Anolis sagrei: one gene and its partners. The main gene of each other region encodes a partner of the protein of the gene in region 3 in a complex. Links are inferred from orthologs where the notes say so. Each region holds a gene or a part of one and is shown on either strand. Other genes may lie near its edges.

What was found. Proteins that work in one complex are often made in the same cells at the same time.
Region 1: MED13L (region 3) and MED19 share a complex: the UniProt entries of both Homo sapiens proteins name them as parts of the mediator complex. The link is inferred for Anolis sagrei from reciprocal best matches to the Homo sapiens genes MED13L and MED19.
Region 2: MED13L (region 3) and MED31 share a complex: the UniProt entries of both Homo sapiens proteins name them as parts of the mediator complex. The link is inferred for Anolis sagrei from reciprocal best matches to the Homo sapiens genes MED13L and MED31.

The regions. Positions count from the first base shown.
Region 1 is NC_090021.1:234,311,057-234,319,757, reverse strand, and holds the start of MED19 (mediator of RNA polymerase II transcription subunit 19), read left to right. Parts: upstream 1-5,145; 5' UTR 5,146-5,242; coding exon 5,243-5,447; intron 5,448-8,484; coding exon 8,485-8,701. Other genes in the region: TMX2 (thioredoxin-related transmembrane protein 2), read right to left, coding at 1,122-1,235, 2,910-2,970, 4,652-4,840. UniProt on the Homo sapiens protein: Component of the Mediator complex, a coactivator involved in the regulated transcription of nearly all RNA polymerase II-dependent genes.
Region 2 is NC_090031.1:29,645,023-29,652,921, reverse strand, and holds the start of MED31 (mediator of RNA polymerase II transcription subunit 31), read right to left. Parts: upstream 3,557-7,899; 5' UTR 3,470-3,556; coding exon 3,460-3,469; intron 3,375-3,459; coding exon 3,297-3,374; intron 2,552-3,296; coding exon 2,455-2,551; intron 1-2,454. UniProt on the Homo sapiens protein: Component of the Mediator complex, a coactivator involved in the regulated transcription of nearly all RNA polymerase II-dependent genes.
Region 3 is NC_090034.1:43,698,165-43,706,481, forward strand, and holds the start of MED13L (mediator of RNA polymerase II transcription subunit 13-like), read left to right. Parts: upstream 1-4,634; 5' UTR 4,635-4,791; coding exon 4,792-4,851; intron 4,852-8,317. UniProt on the Homo sapiens protein: Component of the Mediator complex, a coactivator involved in the regulated transcription of nearly all RNA polymerase II-dependent genes.

The DNA.
Region 1 (8,701 bases), on a different chromosome or scaffold from region 3:
TTCCAGGATAGAAGCAGCCATTTTGGAGGTCTCCCTGCCCCTTCAGTTTTAGGAAGAATCCATGATGTGCTGTTGGCAGACAGGTACCTCAGAAAATATCATTGTAAAAACAATTGAGTTTAATTTAGTTATAGATAGATTTATTGAGTAATTTAGTGTAATAGATTAATTTAGTTTAATTGAGACCTATAGATAGATAGATAGATAGATAGATAGATATAGATAGAGTAATTGAGTTTAACTGAATATAGATAGAGTTTATTAATATAGATGGAATTTATTATTCATTGATTGTTTTGTAGTATTGATAAGCTGAGCCAAGTCTACCAGGACTTCGTGAATAAATACCCTGTTTATTGTTTAGAATTGAAGTGGACTCAGTTATTCCAGAAAGCTCAATCTGCCTAAAGAAAGACCTCAGCAGTTTCGCCCAGACATAGATAGCAGCACGTCAAAGTTTTATTTTAAAGCGTCTGGGCGTAACGGCACATATACTATTATCGGATTAATTCAAACAGAGGGAGTGGGAAACGTTTGCTTTGCAATAACCAATAAAAATGTGAACTAGAAGAGTGATCAAAATGATCAAAGATCTGGAAACTAAGTCTTATGAGGGTTGATGATGTCCAGCTTTTAGAGAAGACCGAGAGGTGGCCTGGTAGCTAGGCTTAAATATCTGAATGAATACCATGTAGATTGTGAAATAAGCTAGCTTTAAGATGCTCCAGAGACTACAACACAAAACAATAGATTCAAAATAGAAGACAAAATATCCTACCTAAACATTAGGGAGAAATTGATATGCAATGGACTACCTTGGAGGATGAAGGATCTCTTTCAGGGGTGCTTAATTGTGTACTCCTGCATTACAGGGGGTTGGACTATATGGCCCTTGTAGCCACTTCCAACTCTATAAAAGGCAGAATGATATTTTAGGGAAAAATTCACCCAATTATGATTTTTTTTTTTGTGGAGAATGCATATCACGGTGCACAAAATCCAACTCCAAAGGTGCAAAAGTGCAAAAAGGCAAGAGGAAGTCTGTATCTAAAGTCCCATTTCTCCTAGTGTCTAAAGATCTACAGAAACTATCCTTCCATAACCAACTCTAGAGGTCTCACCTATACAGAGTGTGAGGTAAAGCAACCCCATCCGGATGTCAAGGCGGAAAAAAAGGATGACGTTGGCCACTTTGCTGAACATAAAGATATTTCCCACATGCTGGTCCACAGTAACTTGAAAAACAAACACACAAAACAGATGGTTAGCTCAGGTATCTGCATCATCTGTTAGTCCTGTATAGACTACAGTAGGGATGGACATATCTGCCATGTCCAAAGAACAGGTTTTCCCCTAGGGCCTGCTATAGGCTACTCCCAATGAATTGCTTTTAAAAGAAAGTCAATTGAAAGTGACCATTACTTTAATTGCAGATTTATAAAACAACAAAAACACAGGACTTGTTTGGTGCTTTCAGAAGCAGTATTCTAATTCTGAACAACCACTTCCCCACCTGCAGTGATGGTTTACGGCTGGCAAAAAGTAGCTTGAGAAGGCATGTGTAACCAATGTGGTGTCTTCATCCCATCCTATAGCAAGCGAAAACCCTCAATAATCTGAGTTGAGAGCCATCTTATTGTATTTCGTGAAAGGTATCTGCAAGGTGACTCGTATATTATTTTCATTTTGAATCTCAAATTATATAAATACTTTAAGGATGTCATGCAATTGCTGTACTCTTAGCAATTTACCCTCTTGTGTTAAATACCTTTTTGATAAGTTTTTATATTTCCTTCAGGGAAATATAAAAACCCTATCTCCCCCAGGGGAAATAGGGCAGAATATAAATAAAGTTTTATTATTATTTGAAACACAACAAAGTGAGTCCACAGCAAACAAGATCACTCTGCTGGCTGTTGTATTGGATCCACATCGGACACTTCCTAAGTGTCTAGGACTGTGTGATGTATTGGCGAATAAATGCATGCAAATCCCAGTAGCCTTTTTCAGACGGCTGATGGTAATTTTGTCAGTGCCAATAGTGTTTAAGTGCAGGCCAAAGTTGCTAGGCACTGTACTTATTATTATTATTATTATTATTATTATTATTAAACAATTAGGATCATTTGAGTGGACTTACTGGCAGGTTATTTTCATACAAAGAGGTTATTTCACTCTTTTCAGCTACTTCTATTTCATTTAATTTTCCACGCAGTTTCTGTCTTTACTATTCTCTATCAGCTTCAGGACGTCTTTCATTTGACCCGTTCCATAATGCACTAAGCATTGGTTCATGAAAACTTTGCCTTCTGGCTACCTTATCTAGCTATCACAGATAAGATGTCAGAAACAAAAGAAACAGCAAGCATGTTTCAAAGACACTCCTCTGAAAAGAATGTACAGGGGACCTCACTAATAATATATCTAATGCAGAATAACTAGCAACTTAGAAACTTTAGTTTCTGTGTTGATTTACTGTATGGAGATTATCTCATCTCATAAAATTACACACATATCTCATCCTTGATTAGCGATTGTGTGCACTGAATGGACATAGCCAACTTTTTTAAGAAGAAAGAAAAAGCCTTTAATACAGGTAAAAACTCTTTGGAAAAAAATTCACTGTAAACTCTCTGTTGCAACGGAGTATCTTACTCCAGGGAACAATAAATAACAAATGCAAATATTACTAGGAGTTAAATATATTGAAGCCATAGGATCCTTTCTGATTTTGGAAGTTAATCAACAAACAAGGAATGCCAGGTTCTTCGGGCTATATTTCAGAGGAGGGAACTAGCCGAGCTTTCTCCAAGTCTTGCTTTGTCAGAAAAACCTTCCCAAATTCATGCGGTGTTTTAAGTTGATATACAACTTGAAAGTGCACACAAACACACACAAGTATTACTCACTGGATCTGCGGTTCTTCATCATCACAATCGCACTGAGAAACATCAGAATCTCTACCTCCCGCTAAAAGACAGACAATATATTGAAAGGCAGTATGAATACGGGTCTATAGAAGTTGTTTTACCATAAAATAGGCAAAACATTTAATGGCAGACAAAAATTATGTCATTTAAGTTTTGCTTTCTAGCTGGTTAACAAATATTCATATTTTCTGATCTAATAACACAATTGGAGGAAGAAAAAGAACTTTATTTTTCTACCCAGCCTCCATCTCCCCGAAGGGACTCGGGGCAGCTTACATGGGGCCAAGCCCAAGGCAATATACAATTAAAAACAGTACAATAACAAGTTAAAATTGCATAAAACAGCATAAATAATAATAAATTTGGAGGGGGGGGGAGGAAGTCACTATGCAAACTGGTTAATGGATAGGGTGATATAATAGGTGGATAGAAACATATAGTAGCATAGGAAATAGCATGGAAACAGAGCAATTAAACAGGATCAATTTGGCTTAACTTAAAAATATAGTAATGTAATATAGGAATTCAGATTCAGGTCATGATTTAGGTCAGTTAGTAAGGTTTTTAAAAACTATGCCACAAAATCCTGTTTTTATATATGAGAGGACATTGAGGGGACATAATATACAAAGATGCTCGTGTATGTCAATTTGATAATCTTGACAACTATAATTGAAGTCTAATGTCTTGTCTAATTATATCTTGGATTTTAATCAGGAGTAGTTAATATGGGATCTAATGGATACACTTTTTCTGTTCCATCCACCCTTTCATCCTGATAAGGCCAACACTTTTGAGAGCTAAACGTTTCCCGTCATTCCTTCACTTCTCTGAAAGAGAAGAGGAAGGGGCGGAAAAGGGACTTGGGGAGAACCCCCTCCCTTCTGGCCCACCCATCCCCAAGTTAGAAAGTTAGCCCATGCCTGGTCTAACAACTGAAAAATCGATTGCCAAGTATAAATATATGTGAATACCATTTTTTTTTCTTAAAAGACATACATATTACAGTTTTCCCAATGGGTCAGAATCCAATAAGTAATGACCCTAACAGGTCATAATCCTCCATTTGATTATGTGACCAGTGATTATCCAATAGGAATAAGAACAAAAGGGGACGAGGGAGAGGGTCTTCTCTGTGGTGGCCCCTCGACTTTGGAACTCTCTACCCAGAGAGATTAGACAAATGCCCACCCTGGCAGCCTTCAGGAAGAGCCTAAAGCCTTGGTTGTTCCGGTGTGCCTTCGAGGAATGAACATCAAATTCCCATACCTTAACCAACTCTGTACTTTGACGCACAGTATCTTACCCTTTAGTTGAAATTAATTCCCATTGGTTGTCCCATCCGAACCCCACCAGATGCATCACCCTACTTATCCACCTCACCCAGGGTTTTACAGTCCTACCCGTTGTACTTGGCCCTGTCCATCGGCTTAATGTCTTTGCTTATTTTGTTGTACCCTGTGTTTATTTTATATTATTCTCCTTCTTTCTTTCCATGTATTTTATTGTACTTTATTTTATGTATTATTTTATGTATTGTATGTTGTATTCGTTTTGCTTTGTTGTTTATTATTATTATGATTATTATGATGATGATTGGGGGGCGGGAGGATCCATTCCGCGTGGGGAAGCGAAGCTTGTCGCCGTGCAGTCTCCGCCTGAAGGGCGAGGCGCGAAGGAGAAGGCCCGTCCGCCTGAAGGGGCCTGGGGGAGGGCCTCACCCAGTCGAAGTCGCAGGGGTTCCCGTCCTCGCGCTGGGAGGGCAGCCCATGGCACAGCGGCGGCACTTTCCGCACCAGCAGGAAGGCCGCCGAGAGCAGGAGCGAGAGCGGGTAGTAGGGCTGGGCGAGCCAGCGGCAGATCCCCGGCACGGAGTAGAAGAGCGCCAGGAGGGGCGCCAGCACCGCCATCTTCACCTCCCACTGACCGAATCGCCGCACCGCGCGCCAACAGGTCGCCGCTTAGACCGTTCTTTGACACTCATTGGTCGACGGACGCGTCAATCCAAAAAGGGCGGTTCTAAAGGTGACACCTAGCGCTTCGATTGGCCAACTCCGCACACACCAACGGCTACGGAGACTATAAACAAGAGCGCCTCTCTCCGGCGCATTCTATTGACGTTTCGGCGCCCCGTAAAATTGCATCAAGGGGAAGTGTTGGAACCACCCAATCAGAGCAAAGTCGGGTTTCCAGGGGAGCTAGCCAATCATAGCTAGGAGGCGGGTTCAGAGACCGCCAATGAAATCGGGGCAAGCGCATGGGATTGCCAAGACGCGGAGCCAATAGGTGGAGACTGCGCGAAGCACGCCGGGATGATGGAGAATTTTTCCGCTCTCTTCGGGGCGAGCGAACCTCCTCCGCCAGTTGCGGCTGCTGCGCTGGGCTTCGGCCCGGGGAAAGCGGGCGGGCCCGTGACGGGGCCCTCTCCCGTGCCGGCCGTGGCTCCCATCGGAGAAGAGGCGGCGCGCAAGGCCGCGGCCGCCAGTGGGCCCTTCTACCTGATGCGGGAGTTGCCAGGTAGGGGCCGAGGGAGGGCGGGAGGGAGGCGGGCCCGGGAGGCCCTTTAAGCCAACCAGAAAGGGAGGCGGGCCTTGTGCTCTCAGCCAATGCGGGTTGGCCTTCGTGATGGCGTCAGGAGGGAGCCGTCCAATCGGTGGCCCAGTTGCCCCAGGTGGGCTTCTCCCTCTTCTGTGGGGATTTAATCTCACCAACGGTTAGGCGAGAAGTGATGGGCAGATGGCAGAGCGAATGAGGGAGCAGGGGACCTGGGGGCGGAGCCGAGCTCCTATTTTCTGGCTGGACTTGGCGCTGTAAGACCGGAAGTTAGAGAAGTTCATTGTTGAGAACGTGAGGTCGAGTCTCCCTCGCTGTTTACCCGAATCGAGGACACGTCTGCACGTGAACAGCCCTGGCTCCATTATTATTATTAAACTTTATTTGTACCCCGCTAGCATCTCCCGAAGGATTCGATGCGGCTTACACAGGCCAAGGCCTCTACACACAACATAACAATACAATCTAAGCAAATCAATTAAAAACAGAAAAGCAAAGTAAACCACAGGCACAATACACTAAAACACAATAAAACTGGGCCGGGCCAGAAGGTGGGTACAAAGATTAAAAGTGCTGATGTGACAGGAGGTGTATAAAGGGCGTGATTCCAATGCTGTGGAATCATGGGACTTGTAGTTTAACAAGGTCGTTTGCTATGGGTGCCTCACCAAACTACAAGTCTCAGGATTCCATAGCATTGAGCCCTGGCAGTTCTGGTGTGCCTTCGAGGAGTGAACATCATTCCTCGAAGTTGTCAAACTGCATTCATTTTGGGTTGTTGTAGGTTTTTTCGGGTTATATGGCCATGTTCTAGAGGCATTTTCTGCTGACGTTTCGCCTGCATCTATGGCAAGCATCCTGAGAGGTAGTGAGGTGCATTCATTTTACAGTGTAGGTGGGCCCTGGAAGGTACTTGTTCCTGACCTTAAAGCTTTGTGGTATTTGATCAGTATGTTTACTTGTATTTTGTTATATTCCATGTATGCATTTAAATCCTTCAAAAGTGAAGATTTTTGACCGACACGACAACATTTAGGGCCCTTCCACACAGCCATATAACTCTGAATATCAAGGTAGAAAAATCCCATAATATCTGCTTTGAAATGGGTTATCTGAGTCCACACTGCCATATATCCAAAACAGATAATGTGGGATTTTATTCAGCTGCGTGGAACAAGCCTCAGGCTACACTAATATAATCCAGCTCAAAGTACATAATCTTGATTTTTTACAGCTGTGTAGAAGGGTGCCTAAAGTCCCTTCCACACAGCTGAATAAAATCTAACAATATTTGCTTTGAACTGGGATATATGGAAGTGTGGACTCAGATAGCCCAGTTCAAAGGAATATTGTGGGTTATTCTTCCTTGATATTCTGGGTTATATGGCTGTGTGGAAGGGCCCTATGTTGCAGCAAAAACAACAACCAAAAATTTGAAGCAGATAATCTGGATTTTATACAGCTGTGCAGGAGGGGTCTTAGAAGACAAATCAACATAGACTTTCAGAATACAAAATACTTTGAAATTGTCCACATGGCTGGCAGAGATAGTGATAGCCTTTTAGTACACACAACCATCATAGAAAACACTATTTGAAATATTGTGTATAAAATACATTCAAACTAGAAATAAGAGGTATATATGAAACATAAGTGAATTTCATGTTTAGACCCATTCCTAGGATGTCTTATAATATACATACTTGCAAATAATAATAATAATAATACATCTTTATGTATATCCCACTTTTCTCCCACGAAGGGACCCAACATGTTAACATGCAGTAAAATAAAATACAATAGTAAATACGCAACAGTCAGTGACACAAATGTAAAACATAATAAGCAATCCATAAAATAAACATAAGCAAGCATTTAAAACTAGTATATATTATTGTGGGAATACAGGTTTTCTCAAAACACTTCTGTCCCCAAGCATTTCAGTTAGCAGATGCTCAACCTGTACTACTTTACCCTGTGGAATGGGGAGCAGGAGTTGGGTGCTTCATTCTGTACCTATTGCATGCTTTTTTCTTTTGAAGTTCTACTGACTTTTGGGAAGTTTGTTTTAAAATAAGTAGAGTCATCCCTCTACTTATATGGGACTTAGGGAAACAGCGAAAGTGGAAAAAAGTCAACATCTTTAATAGGGAAGGGAAATAGGGCACCAATGCTGAGATCCCACCCTTCCTCTATGGTGCAAGTCTATTGTCCAGGTAAAGGGAGAATATACTGGGCAGATCAGAAACATGGGAGAGATGGAAGGAGAAATCAGTCCCAGTGGATCTGGCTCTTCCTCTTTCTGTGTGTTCTCCTCCTCCCCCTTATTTTCCTTTCCCTGGGCATAACGAATATTCACAGAATACAGGAAAAGAAAATTATACGTGGGGAATGTGGAGTGGTGTGAGGTGAGCTCCTTCTTTTGCCTGTGCAACACAAGTGTGTTTCCCTCAGAAAAGGGAGATACTGGGTGAAACACAAACTAAATTCCTGAAGATGTGGCTGTCATATGAATGTTCAAAAGAGAGCTTCAGGATGCAGTGATGCTTTAAACTCTCAAAGAGTCAAAGCCGTGCATGAGAAATGTGCATCAACTTCTCTATACTCTTCCAGCTCCCACAGCCCTATGTCCCAGAATATCTGTTTTGAACTGAGTTGTCTGAGTCCACACTCAGATAATGTGGGATTTTCTGCCTTGATATTCTGGAATATAGGGCTGTGTGGAAGGGCCCTAAGTGTTGTTGCAACTCCTATCCTTTAACTATTAATGATGCTAGGTAAGCCTGATGAGAATTGCAGTCCTAGAATATTTGGAAGACTGCAAGTTGCACACTGAGTATGGATGTTACTAATTAATGTTTATTAGCATCCTTACTGGGAAGTAAGCTTTCAGAAAGACTTGAGAAACATGCATGAAAAGGCAGAGTGTGACTTCTTAAGAAGATGTCCCAACTTATCTTTGGCAGGATTGCAAAGTTGTTGTTTTTAAATTCCTTATCAGGAACCACTGAACTCACAGGAAGCACAAACCTGATTACCCACTACAACCTGGAGCATGCTTACAACAAATTTTGTGGGAAAAAGGTGAAGGAAAAGCTCAGTAACTTTCTGCCAGACCTGCCAGGGATGATTGACTTGCCAGGATCTCATGACAACAGCAGCCTGCGCTCCCTCATTGAGAAGCCTCCCATCTGTGGAAGCTCATTCAACCCCATCAC
Region 2 (7,899 bases), on a different chromosome or scaffold from region 3:
TAAATTGTATATCGTTGTTGATTTTTATCCTTGCTGTAAACCGCATTGAGTCGCCTGTTAGGCTGAGAAACTGCGGTATACAAGTAAAGTAATAAATAAATAAATAAATAAATAAATGTGACTCCATATCTCCATGAATCCTCTCCAATGATGTTTAATACTTTTTAATATTTGTGCATTTCAGATTGTGCCGTCATGCTTTGAATCCCCTTATGGAAATAATAAGTTGGGTGTTGATAAACATAATCATAATGTTTCCTGCCAAAGACAGAGCCAGCATTGTCCATAGACACCTCCAAGGTCATGTGGCCAGCATGACTGAATGGAACAGTGAGAGGAAGCCACAGGGAGGAGTGAGCAAGCTTGTTTTCTTCTTCCCTGGAGACTAGGACGAGGAACAATGGCTTCAAACTACAAGAGAGGAGATTCCATCTGAATATGAGGAAGAACTTCCTGACTGTGAGCGCCATTCAGCAGTGGAACTCTCTGCCCCGGAGTGTGGTGGAGGCTCCTTCTTTGGAATACCGAGAAGAGGCCTCCCTTCTGAAGCTTTTAAACAGAGGCTGGATGGCCATCTGTCAGGGGTGATTTGAATGCAATATTCCTACTTCTTGGCAGGGGGTTGGACTGGATGGCCCATGAGGTCTCTTCCAACTCTTTGATTCTATGAACGCTGTTAACTCCCCACTGGAGTGGTACCTATTGATCTACCCACATTTTATAATAAATAATATAATAATATAATTATAATAATATAGGCATGAATGTGACTCCGTATTTCCATCAAACCTCTCTAATGATGTTTAATACTTTTTTGATATTTGTGTATTTCAGATTGTGTTGTCATGCTTTGAGTCCCCTTATGGAAAGAATAAGCTGGGTGTCGACAAACATGATCACAATGTTTCCTGCTAAAGAAAGGCTCTTACTTGAGGAACTTGGTGTAGCCGGGCTCCTTCCAGTACAACAGGGCTTGATAATATAATATAATATAATAATATATAGGTAAAGGTTGTCCCTTGACATTAAGTCCAGTTGTGTCCAACTCTGGGGTTGGTGCTCATCTCCATTTCTAAGCCGAAGAGCCAGCATTGTCTGTAGACACCTCCAAGGTCATGTGGCCAGCATGACTGCATGGAACGTGGTTAACTTCCCACTGGGATCTAGTCACATTTAATAATATATAATATAATAATATAATTATAATAATATAGGCATTAATGTGACTCCGTATCTCCATCAATCCTCTCTAATGATGTTTAATACTGTTTAATATTTGTGTATTTCAGATTGTGCCATAGAATCATAGAGTTGGAAGAGACCTCATAAGCCATCCAGTCCAACCCCATTCTGCCAAGAAGCAGGAATATTGCATTCAAAGCACCCCTGACAGATGGCCATCTAGCCTCTGTTTAAAAACCTCCAAAGAAGCAGCCTCCACCACACTCCAAGGCAGAGAGTTCCACTGCTGAACGGCTCTCACAGTCAGGAAGTTCTTCCTCATGTTCAGATGGAATCTCCTTTCTTGTAGTTTGAAGCCGTCATGCTTTGAGTCCCTTATGGAAAGAATAAGCTTTTTTTTTTTTCTTGTCAGGAGCGACTTGAGAAATTGCAAGTCACTTTTGCTGTGAGAGAATTGGCCGTCTGCAAGGACGTTGCCCAGGGGACACCCGGATGATTTGATGTTTTTATCATCCTTGTGGGAGGCTTCTCTCATGTCCCCGTATGAGGAGCTGGAGTCGATAGAGCAATGTTTCTCAACCTTCCTAATGCCACGACCCTTTAATACAGTTCCTCATGTTGTGGTGACCCCCAACCATAATATTATTATTTTTTTGCTACTTCATAACTGTAATTTTACTCCTGTTATGAAACATAATTTGGGAGTTGTAGTTGTTGGGATTCATGGTTCACCTACAATCAAAGAGTATTCTGAACTCCACCAACGATGGAATTGAACCAAACTTGGCATACAGAATGCCCATGACCAACAGAAAACACTGGAAGAGTTTGGTGGGCATTTGACCTTGAGTTTGGGAGTTGTAGTTCACCTACAGAGAGCACTATATCTGGACCAAACTTGGCACAAATACTCAGTATGCTAAATGTGAACACTGGTGGAGTTTGGGGAAAATAGGCATTGATATCTGGGAGTTGTAGTTTTCTGGGATTTATAGTTCACCTACAATCAAAAAGCATTCTGAACCCCACCAATGATAGAATTGGGCTAAACTTCCCACACAGAACCCCCATGACCCATAGAAAATACTGTGTTTTCTGATGGTCTTTGGTGACCCCTCTGGCACCCCTTGGCGACCTCTCTAGGGGTCCCGACCCCCAGGTTGAGAAACACTGCGATAGAGGGAGCTCATCCGCCTCTCCCCAGATTCGAAAGAATAAGCTGGGTGTCAATAAACATGATCACAATGTTTCCTGCCAAAGAAAGGCTCTTACTTGAGGAACTTGGCGTAGTCGGGCTCCTTCCAGTACAGCAGGTACTTGAGGTAATTGGCAAAGGCCTTGTCCTTGAAGAAGCCCCTCTGGGCCAGAACTGGAAGGAGGAAAAGGAACACAAATCAAGTCAGACACAATGGCCAGTTCTTGACCAGGCCCAAGGGGAGGGAACAACGTGTTCCCATCCACCTGCGCCACTGATTATCTAGCAAGCCAATCTCCTGGGAGAGTACAGCTTGGCCTTGCTTGATTAATTCACCTATTCATTCCTCGTATTGTCTAAGGCTTTCATGGCTGGAATCACTAGGTTCTTGTGGGTTTTTTCGGGCTATATGGCCATGTTCTAGAGGCATTTCTCCTGACGTTTCGCCTGCATCTATGGCAAGCATCCTCAGAGGTAGTGAGGTCTGTTCGAACTGGGAAAAAGGGTTTATATATCTGTGGAATGACCAGGGTGGAGCAAAGAACTCTTCTCTGCTGGAGCTAGGTGTGAATGTTTCAACTGACCACCTTCATTAGCATTTGAAGGCCTGCCTGAGCCTGGGAGATTCAGCAGGAGATTTTCCCAGGCTCAGGCAATCCTTCAAATGCTAATGAAGGTGGTCAGTTGAAACATTCACACCTAGCTCTAGCAGAGAAGAGCTCCTTGCCCCACCCCAGCCATTCCACAGATATATAAACCCATTTTCCTATTTCCAACAGACCTCACTACCTCTGAGGATGCTTGCCATAGATGCAGGCGAAACGTCAGGAGAGAATGCCTCTAGACCATGGCTCTATAGCCCGAAAAAACCCACAAGAACCTATTCATTCCTCCTTCAGTGGGTACCAATGGGACTCACAGTTGAGGTAGTTGGGGTTGGCCAGGCACTGCACGAACTCCAGCTCCATCTGGAAGCGCAGGCGGTTCCCGCCGTCCTCTAGGAACAAAACCACAAGGAAGGAAGGTCAATGAGGCGCCATTCCCACAATCCCCAGGAAGCCCTTTCCCCGTGCTAGTCTCACCGGTCTCCATGGCGACGCCGAGAAGAGGCCTGCCTTCCGAACGCTAGGCCGCAAAAATATGGCGGCTGGAGCCCCCCGCGCCTGCGCACTCGAGGGTCCGGTATCCATGGCGACGGCGCCCTCTCCGAAAGTAAGGCCTCCCATTGGCGGGTTTAGGCCCCGCCCCCCGGACCTGCGCTCTTGGAGGGAGAGGAGGAGGGCGGCCATGTTGTCGTCGCCTAGGCAACGGAGAGGCCTTGTCTTCCTTTGCTTTTTGAAGCGGGACTGGCTCTCCCCACTCCCTCCCCGTCTGCATTATGGTCCTGAAGCGTCCAAGGAGGCCGTCAAGAGGAACCCAAAACCATCTAGTCGAGGCATTGAAGGCACCATCTAATCCCTCTCGACAGAGGGCCACTCAGCCTCAGCTTGAAAGCCTGCAGAGAAGGAGATAGATTTGTATGGAATGAAACATAGATAGAGAACTATAGAGTTGGAAGGGACCCACAAAGGCCATCCAGTCCAACCCCTAAAGGATAAATAGATAAGTAGATAGATAGAATCCTAGAGTTGGAAGGGACCCAAAAAGGCCATCCAGTCCAACCCCTAAAGGATAGATAAGTAGATAGATAGAATCTTAGAGTTGGAAGGGACCCACAAAGGCCATCCAGTCCAACCCCTAGTAGATAAATAGATAAGTAGATAGATAGAATCCTAGAGTTGGAAGGGACCCACAAAGGCCATCCAGTCCAACCCTTAATAGATAAATAGATAGATAGAATCCTATAATTGGGACTCCCTAAGGGCATCCAGCCCAACCCCTAATAGATAAATAGATAAGTAGATAGAATCCTATAATTGGAAGGTCATTCAGCCCAACCCCATCCTGCCATTGAAGACACGATCCGACCCCTCTCAACAGATGGCCATCCGGCCTATCCTAGAATCTTTGTATCCTAGAGTTGGAAGGGAGGAGCAGAAAGATAATATTATTATCTATGCATCATCATCATTATTAGACTTCTAGAGATGGAAGGGATCCCCAAAGGGCTATCCAGTCCAATGCACTTCTGCCAAGCATATTATCCATTAATTTTTAAAATTATTTTACTGTTATTATTATTATTAATTTTATTTAATTTATTTATTATTCAAACTTATATGCCGCCACTCCCCTGGAGCTCGGAGCGGCTTACAAGAACAGGCTAAAATCTAACACAATTTAAAAACAATTTAAAAAAAATTTTAAAGACAGTAATATCAAAGATCAAAGGCCTATCAGACACCTAGAGTTGGAAGGGACCCCCAAGGGCCATGCAGTCCAACCCCTTCTGCCAGGAAGGAAAATAGAATTACTATTATATTAGTATTCTTAATTATCTTATTATTATTATTATTGGATTACTATTATATTATTATCCATTATATCAGAGGTCCTCAAACTAAGGCCCGGGGTCCGAATACGGCCCTCCAAGGTCATTTACCTGGCCCTCGCTCAGGGTCAACCCAAGTCTGAAACGACTTGAAAGCACACAACAACAACCCTATCTCATCAGCCAAAAGCAGGCCCACACTTCCCACTGAAATACTACATTTGTTAAAATTTGTTAAAATTTGTTTAAAATGTTCGTTTTAATTATTTTTTAAAATTATTGTATTGTTTTTAACTGTTTTTTGCACTACAAATAAGATATATACAGTGTGCAAAGGAATTCATTCATGTTTTTTTCAAATTATAATCTGGCCCTCCAACAGTTTGGGGGACTGTGACCTGGCCCTCTGTTTTAAAAGTTTGAGGACCCCTGCATTATCATCATTAGACTCCTGGAGTTGGAAGGGATCCCCCAAGGGCCATGCAGTTCCCCCATCTGCCAGGAAGGAAAATAGAATTACTCTTATATTATTATTCACTATTATAAATTATTACCGTATTGTCGAAGGCTTTCATGGCTGGAATCACTGGGTTGTTGTAGATTTTTTCGGGCTATATGGCCATGTTCTAGAGGCATTCCCTCCTGATGCTTCGCCTGCATCTATTGCAAGTGTCCTTAGAGGTTGGGACCTCACAACCTCTGAGGACGCTTGCCATAGATGTAGACAAAACATCAGGAGAGAATGCCTCTAGAACATGGCCATATAGCCCGAAAAAACCTACAAGCCATAAATAATAATAATAATAATAATAATAATAATTACTATTATTATTGGATTACTATTATATTATTATTCATTATATAATTATTATTATTAGACTCCTAAAGTTGGGACCCCAAAGGGCCATGCAGTCCTACCCCTTTCTGCCAGGAAGGAAAATAGAATTATTATTATATTATCATTCATTATTATCAATTATTATTATTGGATTACTATTATATTATTGTCTATTATGTAATTATTATTAAACTCCTGGAGTTGGAAGGGACTCCAAAGGGCCATGCAGTCTATCCCCCCTCTGCCAGACAGGAAGATACAATTACTATTTAATATTATCTGTTATTATTATTGAATTACTGCGACCAAAAGGTCACAGGTTCAAATCTGGGGAGGGGCGTGAGCTCCCGCTGTCAGCCCCAACTTCTGCCATCCTAACAGTTTGAAAATATACAAATGTGAGTAGATCAATAGGTACCGCTTCTGTGGAAAGGTAACGGTGCTCCATGCAGTCATGCCGGCCATATGACCTTGGAGGTGTCTACAGACAACGCCGACTTTTCGGCTTAGAAAGGAAGTTGAGCACCAACCCCCAGAGTCGGACATGGCTGGACTTAATGTCAGGGGGAAACCTTTACCTTTACTATTATATTATCCATTATTATTATTATTATTATTATTATTATTATTCTCCTAGAATTGAAAGGGACCCCGAGGGCCATCCAGTCCAACCCACTCTTCCAGGAAAGAAAATAATATTACTATTATATTAATAATAATAATAATAATAATAATTATTATTATTATTATTATTATTTGAAACAAAACTAAATGAGACCACAGCAGACACTCTGCTGGCGGTTGAATTGGATCACACATCGGACACTTCACAAGTGTCTAGGACTGTGTGATGTATCGGCGAATAATGTGTGCAATTATTATTATTATTATTAATATTATTATTATTATTATTATTATTGAAGGAAGATGCCATCCCTCCCGACCCGTGGCCATTTAACCTCAGAGATATTAGCAAGTTTATGGAGAAGTATGGCTATGGAATTCTGAGATCCTCTAGTTGGAAGGAACCCCCAAGGGCTATCCAGTCCAACCCCATTCTACTATGGAGGAGGGCACAGTCAAAGCCTCTGCTTCAAAGCCGTCCAGCCGTCCAGCCTCTGCTTCAAAGCCTCCAGAGAAGGGGACTCTGTGACAGAGACTCCAGTGCCGAACAGCTCTTCTTTCCAACGAAACGTTCTTCTTAATGTTCAGGTATGACCTTAATGGGAGAAAGACTGCCAGGCATGTCCAAAGCCCGGTCTGGGGGCCAATTGTGATCCTTGTTCAAATTCCTATTGGCTCCTAACTCTGTTATAGAATCAACAACATGCGGGCATGCCAGCACTGTTGACCACAGTATAAAATACATGTGTACAAAAAAGTGACAATGTAGAGGTACAACAAGCGAATTCTTCCCCAAAGATATATATACAAGATATATACACACATACACACACACACTAGCCTGTGTACTTGGTGTTGCCCAGGCTATTTGAAAAAGTCAGATTTTTAATTGTCCAATATGCATAAGGTTGTGGGTGAACTACAACTCCCATCGTGCCAGGTTAACCCCCTGAAACTCCATCAGTACTTCAGGTTTGTTATGTTGGGCAAGTTTGCTCCATATGTACCATCAGTGGGGTTCAGTGTGTTCTTTGGCTGCAGGGTAAACTACAACTCCCACCATGATAAGTCAATCCTCTCAAAACCCCACAGTTGGTTCAATTCGTCTGTGTGTCAAGTTTGGTCCCAGTTTATTGTCACTGGTGGTCACAGTGTCTCTGGTTGTAGGTGAACTACAACTCCCAGAAATTATGGTCAGTTTCCCGCAAACCCCTCCAGTATATTCAGTTGGTCATAGGGGTTCTGTGTGTCAAGTTTGATTCAGGTCCGTTGTCGGTGGGGGGATCACAGTTTCTCTGGTTGTAGGTGAACTACAACTCCCAAAATTCAAGGTCTATCCTCCCCTAAACCCCTCCAGGAATCAAATTTGGCCGTATCAGGTATGCGTGCCAAGGTTGGTCCAGATCCATTGGTGTTTGGGTTCACAGTGCTCTCTAAATTAGGTGAACTACAACTCCCTCAAATCAAGATGAATTTTCTCCAAAGACCTCCCATATTTTTTGATGGTAATTCGGGTTCTGTGTGCCAAGTTTGGTCCAATTCTCTTTTTGGTGGGGTTCAGAGTGCTCTTTAGTTGAAGGTAAACTATAAATCCAAGCACCTACAAGTCCTCCCAAAACCCACCAGTAT
Region 3 (8,317 bases):
CCTAGCAGTTTGAAAACATGCAAATGTTTGTAGATCAATAGGTACCACTCTGGCGGGAAGGTAACATGCTGGCCACATGGCCTTGGAGGAGTCTATGGACAACACTGGCTCTTTGGCTTAGAAATGGAGATGAGCACCAACCCCCAGAGTTGGACACGACTGGACTTAATGCCATGGGAAAACCTTTACCTTTACCTATGATTTTTCAGGATGCTTGAAATATGAGCCCTAGCCTCAAAAAATAAACCCCAGTTCAGGTCGTTAGGCAGACAGACACATTTAGTACGTCAGTTGCAACACATTATATTAATATATAATGAAATATAAATAATATTCTTGATATCATATTGTGATGACGTTCCAGAAGAAGATGGCATAACTGTATTTGAATAAATATAGGCTTTTGTGCATTAATAATAATAATAATAATAATAATAATAATAATAATAATAATAATTTTATTTCTCACCCACCTCTCCTCATGGCTTGAGGTGGGTTACAGTATAATTAAAACACATAAACATTGTGAAAATTGTATAAATACACACATGAAAATGTATTTCTATAAAATGCATGTTAAAATACACAGAACAGAGATTAAACACAAGGCATGAGTTTAAAATTTATGCTTAAAATTTAGATGGAAAAAAGCCCAAATGCATCTTTTGGAGCAAAAAATTAATTTACGTCCTGGTCTTATTTTCGGGGAAATACAGTAATATGGTCCCTATCTCTCCATTGGGGTCTGAGAATGCATTGGGGTTAGGTTTCAGGACTTCCATGCTCGTGAAATGTGGGCTAGAAAATACTACTGTGAGATGGATTTGTAACTGGTGAAGCGACTGAACCCAAAGGGTGCTCCCCAATGGTTCCCCTTCATCTTGGAATGAAGTGAGTAGTAGAGTGCCATAGAGAGGGTTCTGTCCTGGGCCTTTCAGGGCTGTTCAGTTAATGACTTGGACGAAGGTTTAGAGGGCATGATGATCAAGTTTGCAGATAGTATCAAAGGAGGACAGAGAGTGATTACTCCAGAGGACAGGATCAGAATTCAAAACAACTTTAAATGATGAGAGAGCCGATTGGCCAAAACTAACAGAATGAATTTCAACAAAGAGAGAAATGTAGGACACTTCACTTAGGCAGAAAAAAACAAGATGCACAGATACAGGATGGGTGACACCTGGCTCCACAACACGTGAAAGAGATCTTAGAGTCTTCATCAACAAGCAGGCTTCAGACCAGGGAAAAAACTGTACAGCTCAAATTCTTAACCTGACCGAATATATCAAGGAAGGCTATGAGAAAGGTAGCATTACGGGAGCAGTTTTTGTGGACCTTACAGCAGCCTATGACACGGTGCAACATAGGAAAATGCTGCACAAAATCTACCATACCACCCAGGACTACGATTTTACAAAAACCATCTAGACCCTCCTAGAAAACCATTAGTTTCTATGTGGAGTTTCAGGGCAGGAAAAGTAGATGGAGGAGGCAAAATAATGGTCTACCCTAAAGAAGCGTTCTTTTAATTTATTTATTTACTGTATTTTTATCCTGCTCTATCACCACCCCGAAGGGGACTCAGAGCGGCTTCCAGTTTGGCAATGATTCAATGCCACATAGCAACATAAAAGCAGATAAATATACAACACATTAAATGTTAAAAGCATAATGGACCATATAAATACATTGAAATAACTGATTAAAACCATAGCATCTAATTCCATAGTCATAGTCCAAGCCAATTTGTTTGTATTAACTTTGCAGTGACATATTTATTTACTATATTTCTATCCCACTCTCTACTGGAGATCCCCGTTGGCGCAATGGGTTGAACCAGTGTTTCTCAACATGGGGTGTCGGGACCCCTGGGGGTTGTGAGGGGGGTGTCAGAGGGGTCGCCAAAGACCATCAGAAAACACAGTATGTTCTATTGGTCATGGGGGTTCTGTGTGGGAAGTTTGCAGAGTAATTTTCAACGGTAAGCAAACAGTATTGTGGTGCCTCCCCCCCCCCCCAAACCAATCACTGATATGTATTTTCTGTTCGTTGTGGGAGTTCTGCATGCCATATTTGGTTCAATTCCATCATTGGTGGAGTTCAGAATGCTTTTTGATTGTAGGTAAACTATACATCCCAGTAACTACAACTCGCATATGTCAAGGTCTATTTCCCCCAAGAGCGCCTCAAGAGCGCCCCTGGGCAAAATCAACTATACTGCAAATGCTTACTTTGCATAATGGGTTGAGCCGCCCCTGGAAGTTTGGCCCAATATATCGTTGGTGGGGCTCAGAATGTTGATTGTAAGCAACTACAACTCCCAAATGTCAAGTCTATTTTCTCCAAACTCCACCACTGCTCACATTTGGGCATACTGAGTATTCATGCCAAGTTTGGTCCAGATCCATCATTATTTAGTCCACAGTGTTCTCTGGATGTAGGTGAACTACAACACCAGAATTCAAGGTCAATGCCCACCAAACCTTTCCAGTATTTTCTGTTGGTCAGGGGAGTTATTTGTACCAAGTTTGGTTCAACTCCATTGTTGGTGGAGTTCAGAGTGTGCTTTGATTGTAGGTTAACTATAAATCCCAGCAACTATAATTCCCAAATGACAAAATTAACCTTCCCCAACCCCACCAGTATTCAAATTTGGGTGTATCGGGTATTTGTGCCAAATTTGGTCCAGTGAATGAAAATACATCTGCACATCAGATATTTACATTACGATTCATAACGGTAGCAAAATGACAGTTATGATGTAGCAATGGAAATAATTTTATGGTTGGGGGTCACCACAACATGAGGAACTGTATTAAGGGGCCGCAGCATCAGGAAAGTTGGGAACCATTGGGTTAAACCCTTCTGCTGGGAGGACAGGTAGGAGGTTCGAATCCGGGGAGAGTGCGGATGAGTTCCCTCTGTCAGCTCCAGCTCCCCATGCAGGAACATGAGAGAAACCTCCCACAAGGTTGGTAAAATAGGATTTTTTACACCGAAATTTGACAAAAAAGATAATATCAAAGCCTGGGAGGCAATTGTAAAATAATGGTATTAGCTGCCGAAGCAACTGTGGCATTGGGGTGGAAAGATTATAGAAAATGGGAGGTTAAAAATGCTATGAGTATTTAGCAGAATAAATGCTTCAGGATTATATCCATGAAAAAAGAAGCAAATACACAACATGCCGATTTAAGAAAACTTGGGTGCAGAAATGGGAAAGACTGATCGAAAAAGTGGAAGGAAAAGAAAGATATAATGTGCTAAACCATTCTCTTTTTACAGTTGTTCAATTAAATTAAGATCTGAATTAAGGTGAATACTGTTCCCTGAAGGGGGTGGGGAGGAGGGGGGTAAAACTGTCAGACACAAAGGTAAGGTGAAGGGGAGACAGATAAGAGCATTAGGAAAACAATATGTGATATGTGATATGTATTCATAATGTAATTTAGCAACTGAATTTCTAACAATGATAGTATGTGATGGTACTATTTTTGTGTTGAAAAAAAAAGAATAATAATAAAAAAGAGAAATTAAAAAAAAAGGATGGTAAAACGTCAAACATCTGGGTCTCCCCTGGGCAACGTCCATGCAGACGGCCAATTCTCTCACACCAGAAGTGACTTGTAGTTTCTCAAATAAATAAATAAATAAAAATCTTGCTCTCTCTCACCCTGAAGGGGACTCAGAGTGGCTTACCGTTCGGCAATATTCAATGCCACATATTCAAATAAACATTTTGTACTGTAGGTTCTTGTGGGTTTTTTCGGTCTATAGGGCCATGTTCTAGAGACATTTCTCCTGACGTTTCGCCTGCATCTGTGGCAAGCATCCTCAGAGGTAGTGAGGTCTGTTGGAAATAGGAAAATGGGTTTATATATCTGTGGAATGACTGGGGTGGGGCAAAGAGCTCTCTGCTGAAGCTAGGTGTGAATGTTTCAGCTGACCACCTTCATAAGCATTTGAAGGCCTGGCTGAGCCTGGGAAAATGTTCTGTTGAGAGGTGTTAAGATGTGCCTGGTTGTTTCCTCTCTGCTGTTTTGCTGTAGTAATTTTAGAGTTTGTACTGTGGTTGTGCAACTCCCCAAACACTTGATTCCACAGCCTGATTTTGACTTTCTGAAAGCAGGAGGGAGGAAGCTATCTAATAGCATTGGGGAGGGAGGGAGTTCCATAGTCGAGGGGCCACCACTGAGAAGGCCCTGTTCCTTGTCCCCACCAGTCTCTCCTTGCAGCTGGAGGGGGGGGGGTGACAATGCAATGCCAAAGTCTTGCAAAAGCCCAGTCCTGCCAGTGTGTCTGGCTAACCCCCCCCCCCCAGTTGCACAGCGCCCCCACCGGCGGGGAAGGGAATTGGAAGGCGCGCGCCTCAGGAGGAGAGAAAAAAAAGCGAGGGAACGGCCAGCGGTGGAGTTCTCCTTTGGGCCGGGCAGAGCGTACCACGTGGCGAGGGCTGGGCCAATGAGGGGGCGCGGCGCTCCTGTGGCGCGGCCGCCATGGCTGTCAGAGCGGCGGCGAGTGCGTGAGGAGAAGGGAGGGAAAGAGGCGGCCGGGTGACGAAGGAGGAGGAGAAGGAGGAGGAGGAGGAGGAGGGAGGGAGGGAGGGGGAGGGAGGGAGGGAAAGGAAGAAAAGAACCGAACGCGGCGGCGGCGGCGGCGGCGCTGCTTGAGGGAAGCGGTTGCCGTCGCCAACGGAAGCAGTCCCGGCTTGGGCCTGGAGCCGCTCTCGCCTCAGGCCCGCTCCGACATGCCCCGCTCTGCCGGCGGAGGAGGAGAAGGAGGAGGAGGACCATGAGCGGGCTGGCGAACGGGGCGAGCCTGGAGGACTGTCACGCCAACCTCTTCTCGCTGGTGAGGGAAAGAAGCCGAGGGGAAAGGGAAGCCCAAGGAGAAGGGAAGGGGACTCACTGCCTTCTTTGGCCCTTCCAGCCCTCACATGCCCTGCCTAGGGTGCCCTCTTCAACTGCTGTGCAGACTCCCAACTTTTCCCCACTCGCCGCCCCTTCCGTGCGGAGAAATGCGCCTCTGGCCCCCGGGATATGGAACACCGAGAGGAACCAAGGAGCCCAAACCAGCCTTTGCTGTCTTTGCTGAGACAGGCTGATCCCACCCCCATCCCCCTTTTTTGTGTGTCTCTGTGAAGCATCTTCTGCAGAGTCCACTGTACACTCAGCACTTCTCGATCTCTTCAGAAGCCTTGCTGCTGCCCATTGTATCGCCTCCCTAACATTGAGCTCAGGGACCCCCCCCCCCAAATATTTGGGGTCGGGACAGTTGAAGAAGCAGCGTGGAGACACTCCTGTAATCCAGTTGGATGCAGTTCTCTCTGCATTCCGAAACTGCCTCCTGGAGCAGGGTCGATCCAGCCTTTTTCCGACCCCTTCCACACAGCCGAATAAAATCCCATATTATCTGCTTTCGACTGGAATATATGGCAGCGTGCCCTTCCAGACAGCCATGTAACCCAGTATCTCAAGGCAAAAAATCCCACAAGATCTGCTTTGAACTGGGTTATCTGAGTCTACACTGGCTTATATTCCAGTTCAAAGCAGAAAATGGGGGATTTTATTCAGCTGTGTGGAAGCGGCCTCAGATAAACCAGTTCAAAGGAGATATTGTGGGACTTTTTTCTGTCTTGATATTCTGGGTTATATGGCTGTGTGGAAGGGTCCTTAGATAACCCAGTTCAAAACTGATCTTGTGGATTATGTGCCTTGGTATTCTGGGTTATATGGCTGTGTGGAAGGACCCTTTGACAATCCAGTTCAAAGCAGATCTTGTGAGATTTTCTACCTTGATATTCTGGTTTATATGGCTGTGTGGAAGGGCCCTTAGATAACCCAGTTCAAAGCAGATCTTGTGGACTATTTACCTTGGTAATCTGGGTTATATGGCTGTGTGGAAGGGTCCCTAGAACAGGGTCGATCCAGTCTTTCTCCGGCACAGCGCCCCTCCTTTGTGGTCTGACCCCCCCTTTCCTGGTCTTCCCATGCTTTGCCTTCTCTGCCTTGGAGCCCACCAGCCTCTAATGCATGGGAAGCATGCCCAAAGTTGGGGCCAACCCTGGCTTCCTCTCTCACGTTTTAGCCTCCCTTCTCCTTCCCTGCTCACAGTGCTTTCCAGCCAATGGTTCCCCTCTTCTATTCCATCTTCCTCCCCCAAAAGGGATTTGGGGCCCTTCCACACAGCCATAGAACCCAGGATATCAAGGCAGAAAATCCCACAATAACTGCTTTGAACTGGAATATATGGCAGCGTGGACTCAGATAACCCAGTTTAAAGAAGATATTTTGGGATTTTCTGCCTTGATATCCTGGGTTCTATGGCTGTGTGGAAGGTCCCTGGGAAGGAGTGTCAACCAACCTCCTTTCCCATTGGAACTCAGTGTTCAGGAGAGAACATCTCTCTGGAGCCTTTACTTTCTTTCTGATGTGCTGTTGTGTGTGTGTAATCGTATGTATGTTACCAGAGAAAACATCTCTCTTGAGCCCCTCACTCACTCCTTCCTTCCTCCCTTTCACATGTCAAATGTATTGTCCACAGGTACTATGGAGTGAGTCCTTCCTTCCTTCCTTCCTTCCTTCCTTCCTTCCTTACTTATGTGCATATGTATATTTACAGGTATACACAGAGAGAACCATTTTCCTGAGCCCTTAGCTTCTTTCTGTCTTGTTTTCTCTCTTTCACTTGTGTAAGTATGTTTACATGTTCATATGGAGTGAACATCTCTCTTGAATCCCTCCTTCCTTTTGCATGTATGTGTGTGTGTAGATAGATAGACAGAGAACATCTCTCTTGAGACCCAGACTTCTTTCTTTCTTTCTTTTCTGCCTGCCTGCCTGCCTCCTTTCCAGAGTTGTGGCAACGTGAGCAGGATTTGCACGTGGGGCACCCCTTTTACTTGCTCTTGCTGTTAGTACAAGTAGGTTCTCAGCAGGCTGGAAATCCAAGTGATGAGTTCCACAGTAGTCCTCAGGGCTGGCAATGGACAACTTTCCTTCTGTGCTTGGTTTGAATGGTGCTGCCAGGGTCAGCTGTACCTAGGGATCTTTTCAAAGAAGGTCAGCCCAACTTGAGGCAGGCCAACAATGCTTCTCTGAACATGCTTTCACTGTTCTCCTTCTCTAGCAGGCAGAGGGAAAAGAGGGCTGGGGTTGCATCTTTTTGCTTCCTGGGCCTCCTGTTGAGTGGGTTTATTTAGGGCATTGTTTTGTCCAGATCAACTATGATAACTAATAGCACAGATCATCCTAAGTAGAGCCTAGTGTCAGCCAAAACGGAGCATCCAGAGCAATGGATTCTTTGTGGGGTGGGTTTGGGAAGGAGGGGCCGAACTGCTGTGGTCCCATAAAGCTGCTTTCCCTTTTAATACAAAAAAGCGGGATGGGGAGAATTAGTACAAAAGGATAGGGTAAAACATTGTGAGAGTCCCATGTTGCATTTGAGATTTGAGGGGGTCCTGAAACTGAAGGTAGAAAGCTGCTCTCCATATCTAGTGTATATTTCTGAATGCTTTTTATCTCAAGCAACAATGCTTTTGTGTTTGTAGACGTTCTTATTGGTATATTTCTGTATGATGTCATACAAAATAGAGGTTTTTCCATCCTTTAAAAAAGTAAATAATAATAATAATAATAATAATAATAATAACTTTATTCTTATACCCCGCCACCATTTCCTCAAAGGGACTCAGGGTGGCTTACATGGGACCAAATGTCCATAAGACAATAAAACAATAGTAGATGACATTTTACCAATTTATTTCTAGTTTTTTCATTTTTGCACGATCAGCAACATTTCCCTCTCGAATGGAATTATGTGAAAGCCCTGTTGTTGATACTTGCTTCCTTACTAATTTTACCATGTAACTTTATAATTTCTGGGTTGCAGATGTGGCTACTGGTGGCTTGGTTAGGCCATGCTTTTAGTTTGAAAAGCAACTGTCGTCACACTCAGATTAATTGAAGTTGAATGAAAATGGCCAGGAACTGAAGGGTCACGGGTTAATTTCAGACTGGTTGATGTATGCACTTATGCATGAGTGCATTTGGTATGAAATCTGACTTACTAGCTTTTTAAAATGTCCATCTATATATATAAAAATGCTCTGTGCATAATGAGTACCTTTAAAACAAAAGAATCAATGAACGAAATCACACCAAATTTGGCAACAAAACATCTCACAACACAAGGAGTGACCATCACTCAAAAATTATGATTTTGTTATTTGGGAGTTGTAGTTGCTGGGATTTATATTTCACATACAATCAAAGAGCATTTTGAACTCCATCAATGATGGAACTGAACCAAACTTGGC